Saccharomyces cerevisiae S288C: one gene and its partner. The gene in region 2 interacts genetically with the main gene of each other region. Each region holds a gene or a part of one and is shown on either strand. Other genes may lie near its edges.

What was found. A genetic interaction does not mean that the proteins touch.
Region 1: of ATG2 (region 2) and ATG15, changing one suppresses a phenotype caused by changing the other (phenotypic suppression), as found in Saccharomyces cerevisiae (one study listed by BioGRID).

The regions. Positions count from the first base shown.
Region 1 is NC_001135.5:235,235-239,355, reverse strand, and holds ATG15 (triglyceride lipase ATG15), read right to left. Parts: upstream 2,143-4,121; coding exon 580-2,142; downstream 1-579. Other genes in the region: peptidylprolyl isomerase family protein CPR4, read right to left, coding at 1-301; GTPase-activating protein SED4, read left to right, coding at 3,034-4,121. UniProt on the Saccharomyces cerevisiae protein: Lipase which is essential for lysis of subvacuolar cytoplasm to vacuole targeted bodies and intravacuolar autophagic bodies. Involved in the lysis of intravacuolar multivesicular body (MVB) vesicles.
Region 2 is NC_001146.8:189,587-196,833, reverse strand, and holds ATG2 (Atg2p), read right to left. Parts: upstream 5,511-7,247; coding exon 732-5,510; downstream 1-731. Other genes in the region: ZWF1 (glucose-6-phosphate dehydrogenase), read left to right, coding at 1-408; SLA2 (Sla2p), read right to left, coding at 5,877-7,247. UniProt on the Saccharomyces cerevisiae protein: Lipid transfer protein required for autophagosome completion and peroxisome degradation. Tethers the edge of the isolation membrane (IM) to the endoplasmic reticulum (ER) and mediates direct lipid transfer from ER to IM for IM expansion.

The DNA.
Region 1 (4,121 bases), on a different chromosome or scaffold from region 2:
TGGGATCTTTCCCTTCGATAACTGCCTTAACACCATGGGCCAGCATAGCAAAGTTGTTCACAGTTTTGGGCACGACAGTACCGTACAACTCAAAAGTCAGATCCGCCTCTTTCATCGACTTCGAAACGGGATCAAAGTATTCGATAGTGATTATTCCACGATGTGTGGCGGGGGGACTGGGCTCATATTTTTTCTGAAGATCAACATCCTTGGAGGTAATCTGCTTCCCTGATGAAGGTGCAGCGTGGACTTGGCAGAGTACTAAGGAGTACAGGCAGAGCAGCAAGGATTTCAACCACATGTTGTTGCTGAACTTATTCGAAAGTCTATCTATTTTCTTCGGTCTTCCAATCTACGAGTGTGTGAGTTTGCTAGAGAGCAATTGAAGCAAAGAATATGTGACCTATTAATTGCACCTGACTGACGCCTTTCACTTTAAAGCAGTATTAATATATCTTCTCGTGTCGTTTAGCTGAACCTTTAAGTTGTCAAAATGATACATTATTTATCAGACAATGGAAGAAAAAAAGGGCGCATAGGCCCTAAAACAACACTAGGGTCATAATAGATGTATGGGTCTTACAACTCGTATTTGGTGCAGAAGCCAAGCCAATTGCGGCCTACACAGGTAGATGAAGAGGTAGTAGTAGCAGTGGTGCGAGTCGTCGTGGTTGGTGCAGCGTGGCTTTTAGTCTTGGTAATGAGCCTCGATGAGGATTCCCAGTCTCTGCTTGGAATAAACTTCCAGTTGTAGCAATCTACGCAGGGCTCTGGTTCAACGCACTTGGCAGCCTGCTCGTATCCAAGGAGAACTTCGTCAATGACTTTGTGGATTCTGTGGTTGAACATGTTTACACTCCAGCCCTTGTCGTTGACCACATCGTAGACACAGACTCTACCAGTGTGGCACGCGGTTTCCATAGCGTAGCCCACCAGTGAGCAACTTGAACTAGCTCCGTTGCATGTACCCATGAAGATTGGGTCTGCGTTGTGACCGAAGTGCCAGATACCCTCCATGTATGAGGGAAGTCCCGGTGGGAATGGTAAGTGAAGTCTTTTTGAAGGTAGTAGCTCTCCAGGGGACTCGAATGCGACCGCAGGCAATCCAAAAGTGCGGCCCAGTAAACTGGCCAATGCGCCTCCCAGTGAGTGGCCTGTGACCCATATGGCCGCATCGGGGTATTCTTTGAGGACGCCTTTGTATATGTCAACGACTGCAGAGTAAAATCTATCCTTACGTCTCAGTTCCTTTTCCAGGCAAGACTCATCGCATATATACGACTTCACATAGCAATCGCACACGGTAGTCCACAGGTAGCTCACTCTTGCACAACAACACGAAAATAACAAATTATCGTTGATCTTGTCGTTTCCAGTTGTCTCATCTTCGCCAGACCCTGGCAAACCCTGAGCGCTGGTTCCCTTTATCGAGAGTACCACGATATTCTCCACTTCATTGTAAAAGACGTGACCACGTATACCATCACCATCCCAACCAAAATCTTCCGGCTCTGTTTCATTCCACGGCTCCGTGACGTTACGCCAGTCTCCCGTTTGCGGTATTCTCACGTAAGCATTAGACGACATTAATGCTAACGACACTACTGTACCTCTATCTGTGATATTGGGTGCCACAATGTCATCATCTATCCACATGGCGTGTTCTTCCTCCTCCGTCATGTATGTTTCTCCGTAAATGTACGACTCTATGAATTCAGGATCTCTTTCCTTCATCCGCTTCATCAATAGCGGCATCCTTCGTAGCTCAAACTCAAAATCGAATGGGTTAGTGGTGGCATATTCGGCATTAGTAGTCCATAGGGGTTCTTGGTCTTCGAAATCCTGTCCTTGAGTTGTGGTTTCTTGATACAGCATTCCAGCGGCAGAAATAACTTCTGGAGTGACCTCCAGCCTCTGGTGTAGCCGATGGTTTGCTCCGACGCCATGCCTGTAGATAGACTTAAGTCTAAAGGTTCCATCAGATTTTTGATCCATGGCACCCCTGGATGAGCTCTTCCCTACCGATAAATAATCCGGTAAAGCAAAGTAGTAAGCAATAAGGCAGAGCACTGTAAGCGTTAGAATGCATCCTAGATGCAAAGGAGAAGCAAATCTCTTTCTTGAAGGGCTTTTATGCAACATTCAATAGAATATTTCCCTTGTTTCCTTTAATTGTAATGCCTAGATCAGTTCTCAATCACGATAACAATTTTCTGAGCAGCGGCGTACTTTCTTTGACTTATCCAAAAGGTTGACACTGATTTGAGTGTCTCAAAAGCCTTTAAATGATAGAAACAAGGCTTTTAGGCTAGTCTTATGTAATAGAGAAAGTTCATCTATATCTACAGATTCTTATTATGTACTGTTGAACAAAGGTGCGGGTAACTGCGATCACACAATCACTTTTTTCCGGAAACGGCTGTCTTCAGCGAACAACAATATAGTAGAGATACTGTATTCAACTGGAAATGCTTTCCCTTTTGCCCTATCATTATTTTCTTTCCGATGTTATGCTTATTATATCTGTGATTGATAAGAGAAAAAAAAAAAAGTGACAGCTATAGAGAAAAAAAAAAACCCTTAGAGAATCCTACCTGGAATATATTTAATGAGCAAGTCTATCTGCTGCACATTGGTCACGACACATGTTAGTGTATATGGCCCAGCCTATGTATTTACGATTTAAATCACCTTGATAATTATTAAACGATATCCAGTTTATTTCGTATTATGTTACATCTGTCAAGCCCTTACTTAGCAATTTTGAGCCCTAGTATTTTTGACCACATTTGTAACTGCCCTATTTTATTATCCTTTTAGCCCTCCTGTCCTTTTTTCTTGGTTGTAGTAATTTTCATTTATATCTCGAGAATTGTACAGTGTAAATGAGAACTGTGAACGCTTCAAGTAACCTACGCTTATAGCTGCTTCGATCGACGGAGGCTGTTTGTCAACAAGCATCACAATTCCCTACGATACGTCCTCTCTTCCTTTTTTTTCTCTCCTTTTAAACTTAGAAAAACTAGCATAATAATGAGTGGCAACTCTGCAAACTATGACGTCGGATATCCGATATATGGTGCTAAATTTATAAATGAAGGCACTCTACTGGTGGCTGGTGGTGGAGGCCAGTTCAATTCCTCGTTTCCAAACAAAATTACAGCTTTAAAGGTGAACTTCCAGAAAAAGAAACACATTAGAAGGTTTCGTGAGATCACATTAGATTCGATTGACGATGCGCCCACTTCATTGGATTGTAATAATAACCTGATTCTAGTTGGTTGCAATGAACTGTTTAATGATTCCTCCATGGAGAACGTTAACCACCACTTGAGGAAGTTTGTGTTTGAACAAGAACATCTAAAATTCGTGGCCAGTATTGATTTCAACAGAACTACAGACCCATCCGTTTTCACTAAGTTTGTTTACATTAATCAAAGGGCCACAGTAGCTGCAATTGCGTCCTCTGAAGTGCCCACTGTGATAAGAATCATTGACCCGCGTAATTTGACGGAAAATTACGAAATTGAAACGGGTAGGGAAGTTAATGATTTGCACTTCGCCCCTAACGGTATTCTTTTGTCATATATCACTTCTAATTCTTTGGAAGTAGCGTCTGTTAGGGACGGAAATTTTGTAGCAAGGAAAACGGATTTTGATAAAAATCTTGTTCTTTCTAATATCAGGTTTCTCAATGACAATACGCTATTAGTGGCAGCATCATTATCGAACTCTGATGGAGTTTCCTTGTTAAAACTAGGTGTGAGTTCCAAAGGTGTTAAAATTTTAAAAACAGCATCCTTCATGTTCGATTTGAATGGAATAACATCGATGGATGTCTCCCCAAATAAGAAGTTCGTTGCATTATCATCTAACGATAACTTGGTTGCCATCGTCAGCGTTGAAAAGCTAAAGCTTGTTCAGTTGGTTCCAAGAGTACATGAATCTACTATAACAAAAGTTACTTTTTCTCCAGATTCTAGATATTTGGCAAGCACTTCTATGGGGAACACGATCAACGTTCTGAAGCTTTCCGGTACATCGTCATCAATTTTACGAAATATTTGGAAATTTTTCTTGAATTTTGTTTTGTTAGTGGTTTTGGCTGGCGCTATTCAACT
Region 2 (7,247 bases):
GAACTGGTCATCAGAGTGCAGCCCGATGCCGCTGTGTACCTAAAGTTTAATGCTAAGACCCCTGGTCTGTCAAATGCTACCCAAGTCACAGATCTGAATCTAACTTACGCAAGCAGGTACCAAGACTTTTGGATTCCAGAGGCTTACGAGGTGTTGATAAGAGACGCCCTACTGGGTGACCATTCCAACTTTGTCAGAGATGACGAATTGGATATCAGTTGGGGCATATTCACCCCATTACTGAAGCACATAGAGCGTCCGGACGGTCCAACACCGGAAATTTACCCCTACGGATCAAGAGGTCCAAAGGGATTGAAGGAATATATGCAAAAACACAAGTATGTTATGCCCGAAAAGCACCCTTACGCTTGGCCCGTGACTAAGCCAGAAGATACGAAGGATAATTAGAAAAATGCAAGCACATTCATTTATCGGCTAAGTCACTGAAATTTTTTTTTTCGAGTGATTTTATCTTGCAAGCTCACTCTCTTTGTTCTTTTCTCCTCTATAATGGCATCTTCCCCCCACCAACTCCTCTCTACTTGCGTGTGTATTTGTTTGTATACATGTGTAAATATATATACATAAAAGAATGTCGTCTCATGTATTTTTTAACTTTTAGCCGCGGTCAGTGACATTTTGGCTTTCCCACCATTCCACGTCTGAAAAAAAAAAAAAAAAAAGAGATAAAATATGAATTGAATATATATCAAAAATGTCTGCAAAAATTTTTACGAATCAGTCCGATTGGACTTGTACTTATCATTGATTTGCTCGTTATGCGTCTTATCCACTTGATTAGCTATTCCCTGTAAAGTCTTAGACACTGCCTCAGTGGCCCCAATTAACGGCCGAATAATTGCCACAGGTGCAGCTCTAGCAACATAAACTGCTGCGGCGCTCGGCCCTCCCCGTTTATCATCCTTCATCTGTCCCTTTGCCCTCCATACCGCATCGTACGCAATATGCATATGCTTTTCTAATGAACTATACGCCTCCTTCAAACCCGTGGGCAGGTCGAGGGGCTGATCTGCGTACAGACTCACTATTGTGGGTTCGTTGTGATCTCCCGGTGAAGACATATCGATGACTACTGCCGTGGGCTCATGATCTCTTATCCTGGAATATTTACTACCAACTAACTGATCCTCCTCGAATAAAGTATCCAAGTCTAATACAGCTGCAGTATCACTGTCTGCACCATCAGCGGAGCCAAATTTCGATGCATCGTACACCCTGCCATTGGAACCAACACCACCGAATAGTTCCTCGGTGTTCTCCAATATCGCCTGTGTCCCTGAAGTTAATTTAACTCCCAATTTCACAAAATCTCCCGTTGTCGTTTTCAAGAAGACATTGCCACCCTTTTTCAGACTCCTTCCCAAATGCCCTTCTTGCCTGTATTCTGACATTAGTACTGTGACTAGGGTCTTCACCCCTGACCCAATCGCCATAAACGATCTGACAGGAGCCAGTCCTTCCAAAACGCCAGGCAGCTGCTTTTTGGTAATATCCGGCGTCCAAATGGCTTTCAGTTTATTATTTAATTCATCGAATCCATTTAATCCATACAGGACTACGCTTTTCAAAATAATCTTGGATCCATCAAGGGTAAAAAAATTCATCAATTCAGAAGTTTGGCCCGATCTTAAACCCGCATAATCAACTTTTTTCGGCTTATAATCTAATCTTAACTTAATTGAATTAGTGCTAAATTTTTGAATAAATACAATATCTGGATACTCATCAATTAATTCAAATCTTTTATCTTTGAACCCTAAGAACCTTATTAGAAACTCTAAAGTGTCTTGATCCACGTGAAGGCGTAAAGGCGCAACATTTAATTGCATGACTAATTCCACTGCTTGCAAAAAGTCGATCGGCCGGATAAATTCCAGGTCCAGAAGAAACATCGGAGAACTGTGTGGCCACGGTTCGTGCTTTAGCAAAGTTACAAATTTATTCCAGGTGGACGTGGGAACATTATCGATAATTTCAAATTCGTAAATGGAAACTACACATCGGTTCAAAACATCTGTGGAATTATCAGAGTTAGACTCATCGGGTTCATCTACTCGATAATTCTTCAAATTGACATGTACTTTGTTCAATTGAATCAGGGCTTTGTAATGCTTAGAAGGTCGCAAATTAACTTTAGAGACATCAGAGAAGGAATTCTGAACCCCCTGGATCTCACCATCAAGATTTCTTCTCAAATCTGTGACATTGTTTTTGTTAGCAGATATATAAATAGAGTCAAAAATATTTGCCTCTGATTGGGGTACATTTGATTTCGAACTGCTTGCTTCCGCTTTACTGAGCTCTTTATCCAGTTTTTCAACAGTATTAGCGATAAATTTCCGCGTATATTTCCAATCATACCCATCGAATAGTTTTATAACAACTTTTTCGACATCTATACTACCCCTTATATCCACATCCCTTTCTTGCTCTTTTGAGGCGATTGGTGGAGTATCTTCTTCTTTTGGCTGAGCAGAGTCTAGATAACTCTCATGGGGAAGTAAAATACCACCTGTGGCAGTTCCAGAGGAACTGTCCATTTCATATGAACCTTGAGAGGATAGTTTACTTCTGGCACCATTGTTGAACTCGTGAGTTTTGTCGAGAAAACTGTCTACCAAATGCACTGAGTCGTAATCATTTTGATGATTGTTCTCCCGGATGAAGGCAGAATTGAAAAGATCACAATCGATGTCTTTGAATACATCGATAGGATTTTTCAACTGCGTTCTAAATTTTTCCTCATCAGGAAACGTCTGAGGATATTTTAAATCAATACAAAGCTGACAAAAAGTTTGAAAAGAATCCGCGCATAATGAAAGACCAACTTGTTCTATTTTACAATCCAATAAAAGGGCACCATCGGATTTGTTTATTAAAAAATTCAAAGTATCTATTTTACCGATTGCAGAGAAACCTTGACCAGCATAAAAATTTATCAAACTAGGCCAGTTCTTATCTTTTTGAATTTTGAAATTCTGATAGTCATCTATTAGGAAGAGTGTATTCGCCTTTGAAAGAAGCTTTGCCTGCGGAATAAATGAACTTCCACCAGTTGTTAGATTGTCAAGTACAATGACCATTACACTTTTTAATCTGAAAGGGTGCAGAATTAGAGAGCAGTCCAGACATTTGAGTTCCCAGGGAAATCCTGAAGTCGGTTGTTTTTTACTAAGCTTTTGTGAAACAGGTTCATCTTTTGAACTGGCATTATCCGGGCCGATGTTTTTCTTTAGTATTTCTAACCACCTTGCATAGTAATGTATGCGAATGTTGTTAAAAATGACTTTTAACTTTCCATTCGCCCTTCTATGAACATATAGTACAGGTTCGTTAACTGCTTTATTCAAAACTACTGACATGATTTCTTGTGGCTCTAATAATGACGGTGTCTTTCTTTCTACCTTTAAGTTCTTTGTAAAATATACAATTTGAGAGTCATCCGTAATCGCAAAGAAATTATTTGATAGTAATGCTTCCACAGAACCAAATTGCGGCCCTATAATTTCTGATACTTTTAACTTCATGGAATCTATCTTGAGAGAAAAATTAGCGGATAAACTCTGCTTGTAAACGAACCTGGAAGAATTAAGTACTCTGACACTTCTCTGCAAAAAGGAGCCTCTCTTGCTTTTAGACTTTCCTGTACATTCACTGTTCTTTGAATCCGTGAAAAGTTTTCCAAACGCAGAAATATCTTCGACTAATTGTACTATTCCAGAATATTCTTCGTTAAATATCACTTCTTTGATGATTGCATGGACAGAACTATAAATTAGCGCTTCTTTCAAAGTATCGTCATATGAACCCAGTTGTAGAGGGGATTGCAAGTTCGAGATCGTAATGCTCGACATTGTCAATATTTTCGTGCACCGAGAAGGTAGTTTTTTAAATACGTCTACAAGCTCAATGTACAACTCACGGTTAGAGTCGTAAATGAAGGGTGAAACCTGGAAACATAATAAAAAATATGGAAACTTAAGCGACAACTTCACTGCTTTTGAGGTAAGTTGTACGGTCCTTTTAGTATCCGATGCTATTTGAGGCATCATCCCTTTTGACTTATTCTGATAAAAGGACATACATTTTGAAACAAACTGAAAGATTTTAAAGAAATGCGCAATGCCATCATGACTGATAATAATATCTAGTTCGTCGCCCATATTTAATGCGATGCTTTGAGGGGTTTGTTCTCCAGTGAGCAATGGCTTAGTTTTATGGCTAATTGTCAATGGACTCGAATTAGAATAAAATGAGCCTAAAGAAAATGCCAATGAATTATTTTCCTTTTGCTCTAATTTAAAGCTCTTCAAAATTACTGTGATATCTTGGCCTAAGTTTAAGTATATACATTTGATATCAACAGAAGAAAGAGCTGATGGTTCCTGCTTGTCAGGTGAAGGACTTTGGGAATCCTGGCAAGAAAAGCTTTCATTGGCATCCAAATGTGTAACAATGATATCTATAATATTCTTCAAAGTGGAGTTTTTGATTTCGACAATTTTGTGTATCGCTAAATGAACATCCTGAATATCAATAACAATATTAGACATTCTGAGATCATTGACCGATGATAAACCCTTAAAAGCTATGTTCAAATTATTTATTTCCATTAAAGATTCCTTGCACTTATCATTCTCTTGTTCTTCTTGTGTAACTTGGGGTTCACTGGGGTCTTCATTTGATTGCTCTTCCATGGCGCTCATATAAAGTGAAGTAGCCTCCATTTTTGATAAATAAACGCTTTGTGACAGATCGTCATTATTGAAAGGATGCACAGGAGAGTCGGGTACAGCTTGTTTTTGTATTGAGGAAATGGTGATATTTTCAATGTTTATATGTCGTAAATTTGCGTCTGTAGTAATAAGTTGTATGCTTTCTAGATGAACCTCCACAATGTTATCGGAAGGATCTCTATCATTCACTATGAAACGTATGGTAACGTCCTTTAATGCTATTTTCAATTTCGCTAAGGCTACATTAAGGGCCTTGTTCCGCATATTTTGAAGAGTATAAGAACCATTTGCGGCTGGTTTTGAAGCTTCTATATTAGAGTTGAGATCACTACTACTGTCTGAAGAGCTAATGTCATCTTCTTTGTACCTATTATATGTGGTCAATGGATCACTAAATTGTAACATCGAATTCGTAAGATCTTGGATGCTTTTAACCAAAAAATCTGAGTGAAGTTCCTGTGAGCCACTGGAATATAAAGGTGTCATGATAAATCTTAAACCAGACCCATCGATTTCCACACCGCCAGAAACTGTTAATTTTAACACAAGCTCGTCAACTATGCCTTCGTTTATTTGCACGTTTGGAATGTTGAGATCATCAAGTGACAGATTCACATCATGGAACGAGAAATGTGACTTAGACCCTATAGAAACGTCCAAGTTAGATAAATCTATATTGGAGAACAGCGAAATTTGCTGAAGGACGTAAAGAAGCAGCCGCTTTTGTATATTTTGAGGTAACCAAAATGCCATTGTATCGAAATCAAAAAAAAAAAGGGTTCCTCTTAATTTGCTTTAATCTTTATGCTTTCCTTATTTTAAACGGCAGTAGAAATTTTGTATGAATGGTGAGTTGAAATAAAGTCGCAAAGATTACAATAGAAGCAAAATGGTAGACTCCTACAGAGATGTGATATGATAATAAGGGTGGGGTGTCTGTTCTTTGTTCCTTGCATATTCATTATCGCGATTATTTCCATTCGCCGCACCAAAAAAAGAAAAAATGTCCCCGGACGAGAACGCATATACCAATCAGATACAGAAAAACGTAAAAGACGTCTTCAAATAAATATATTTATATTAACGTTTATCTTTATATATAAAAAGTACAATTCATGATCAATCATCATCCTGGTTATAGTAGGCATGCCTTCTTATCTCGCCCAATCTCTTCCTGGCATTGCTCAAGGATTGTTCTAACTTCAAAATTTCCACTTGCTGTTCCATTTCGGCAGTCTTCAATGTGTGTTCGGATGTGAAGTCCAATGGTTGCTGCTGTTGCGAAGTCGAATGATCATCTTCAATCATACCCATGACGTGGTTACCCAAACTTCTGCATGCATCGGTAACATCTTTGGAACAGTGTTCCAATTTATCTTGGGCCTTCGAGTGGATGGAAGTTTTCACTCTCGATGCTGCTACCAATTGTATTGTGGATGCGGCCACTTCTTTGGAGGCGACGATAAATTGTTCAGGTGATGTGTTTTCATTGTCTTCAGAAGTGATTAACTTACTAGCAGTAGTGATTAAAACATTGGTTGCACCTGCCACAGCCTTTGCCGCGGAGATCAAACCTTCTGTCCATCTGCTGTTTTTCAAGTAGAATTGGTTCAGAGGAATACTTGTCGTGGTGGCAATTTCATTTTGGCACTGAATAGCAGCCTTTACCAAAGCCACAACAGCATCAATAATCATTAATGCCAATGACAACAATGGTTTAGGAACGTCAACACGTAAGTGTTCTGAGGATTTGACAATTTTGTCAGCAGTGGCAACCAATTCAGAATGTGGGTTCGTTTCTTTATTTGATTTGACAGATTGTATGTTCAATAACGGTTCGATAGCCAAAGATAGCTCTTGCAACTTCTCTTGCATGTCCACGTTGGCATTGATGACGATATCAGTTTTCTCCTCATCACCGACCTGGTTAAGATTTTCAGACATCAAATCCTCGAAGAAATATTGGGCCTCTCTGGCACATCTCTTCACCAGGGTCAAAATTTGATCAGACTGTTCTTGAGGTAATGTAGTAACGGCGTACGCCTTTGAATTGGTCACCAGTGTAGCCATCGAAGTACTGAAATCACTAACGCAGTGTATGACCTCTGTTTGGTCGCCGTGTGCAAGGCCGTCTACTATCAAATTATTGAAACTGGTGGCAAACTCAGTGGCGTTTTCAGAAGTACTTTCCAATAAGGACAAAAGGAAAGTGGGTGGAGTCAGCGGACCCGACCAACTCAAAGGAGAATCGAGATTATAGACCGATTCCTGGATGGTGTTGATACCGCTTTCCAATATGGCATCCAGAATAGGGTTCATTTTATCCTGAGTCATTGTTTCTGCTGCTGCTGTCGCCGCTGCACTGTCCGCCTCTGCATTATTAATGGATCTTTCTAATTCTAACCTTGCCCTGTCACGGTCCTTAACCAACTCGGCCATTTGCAAATCCTTTTGCTTCAATTTGTGTTCTAACTGTTCCTTTTTCTGAAT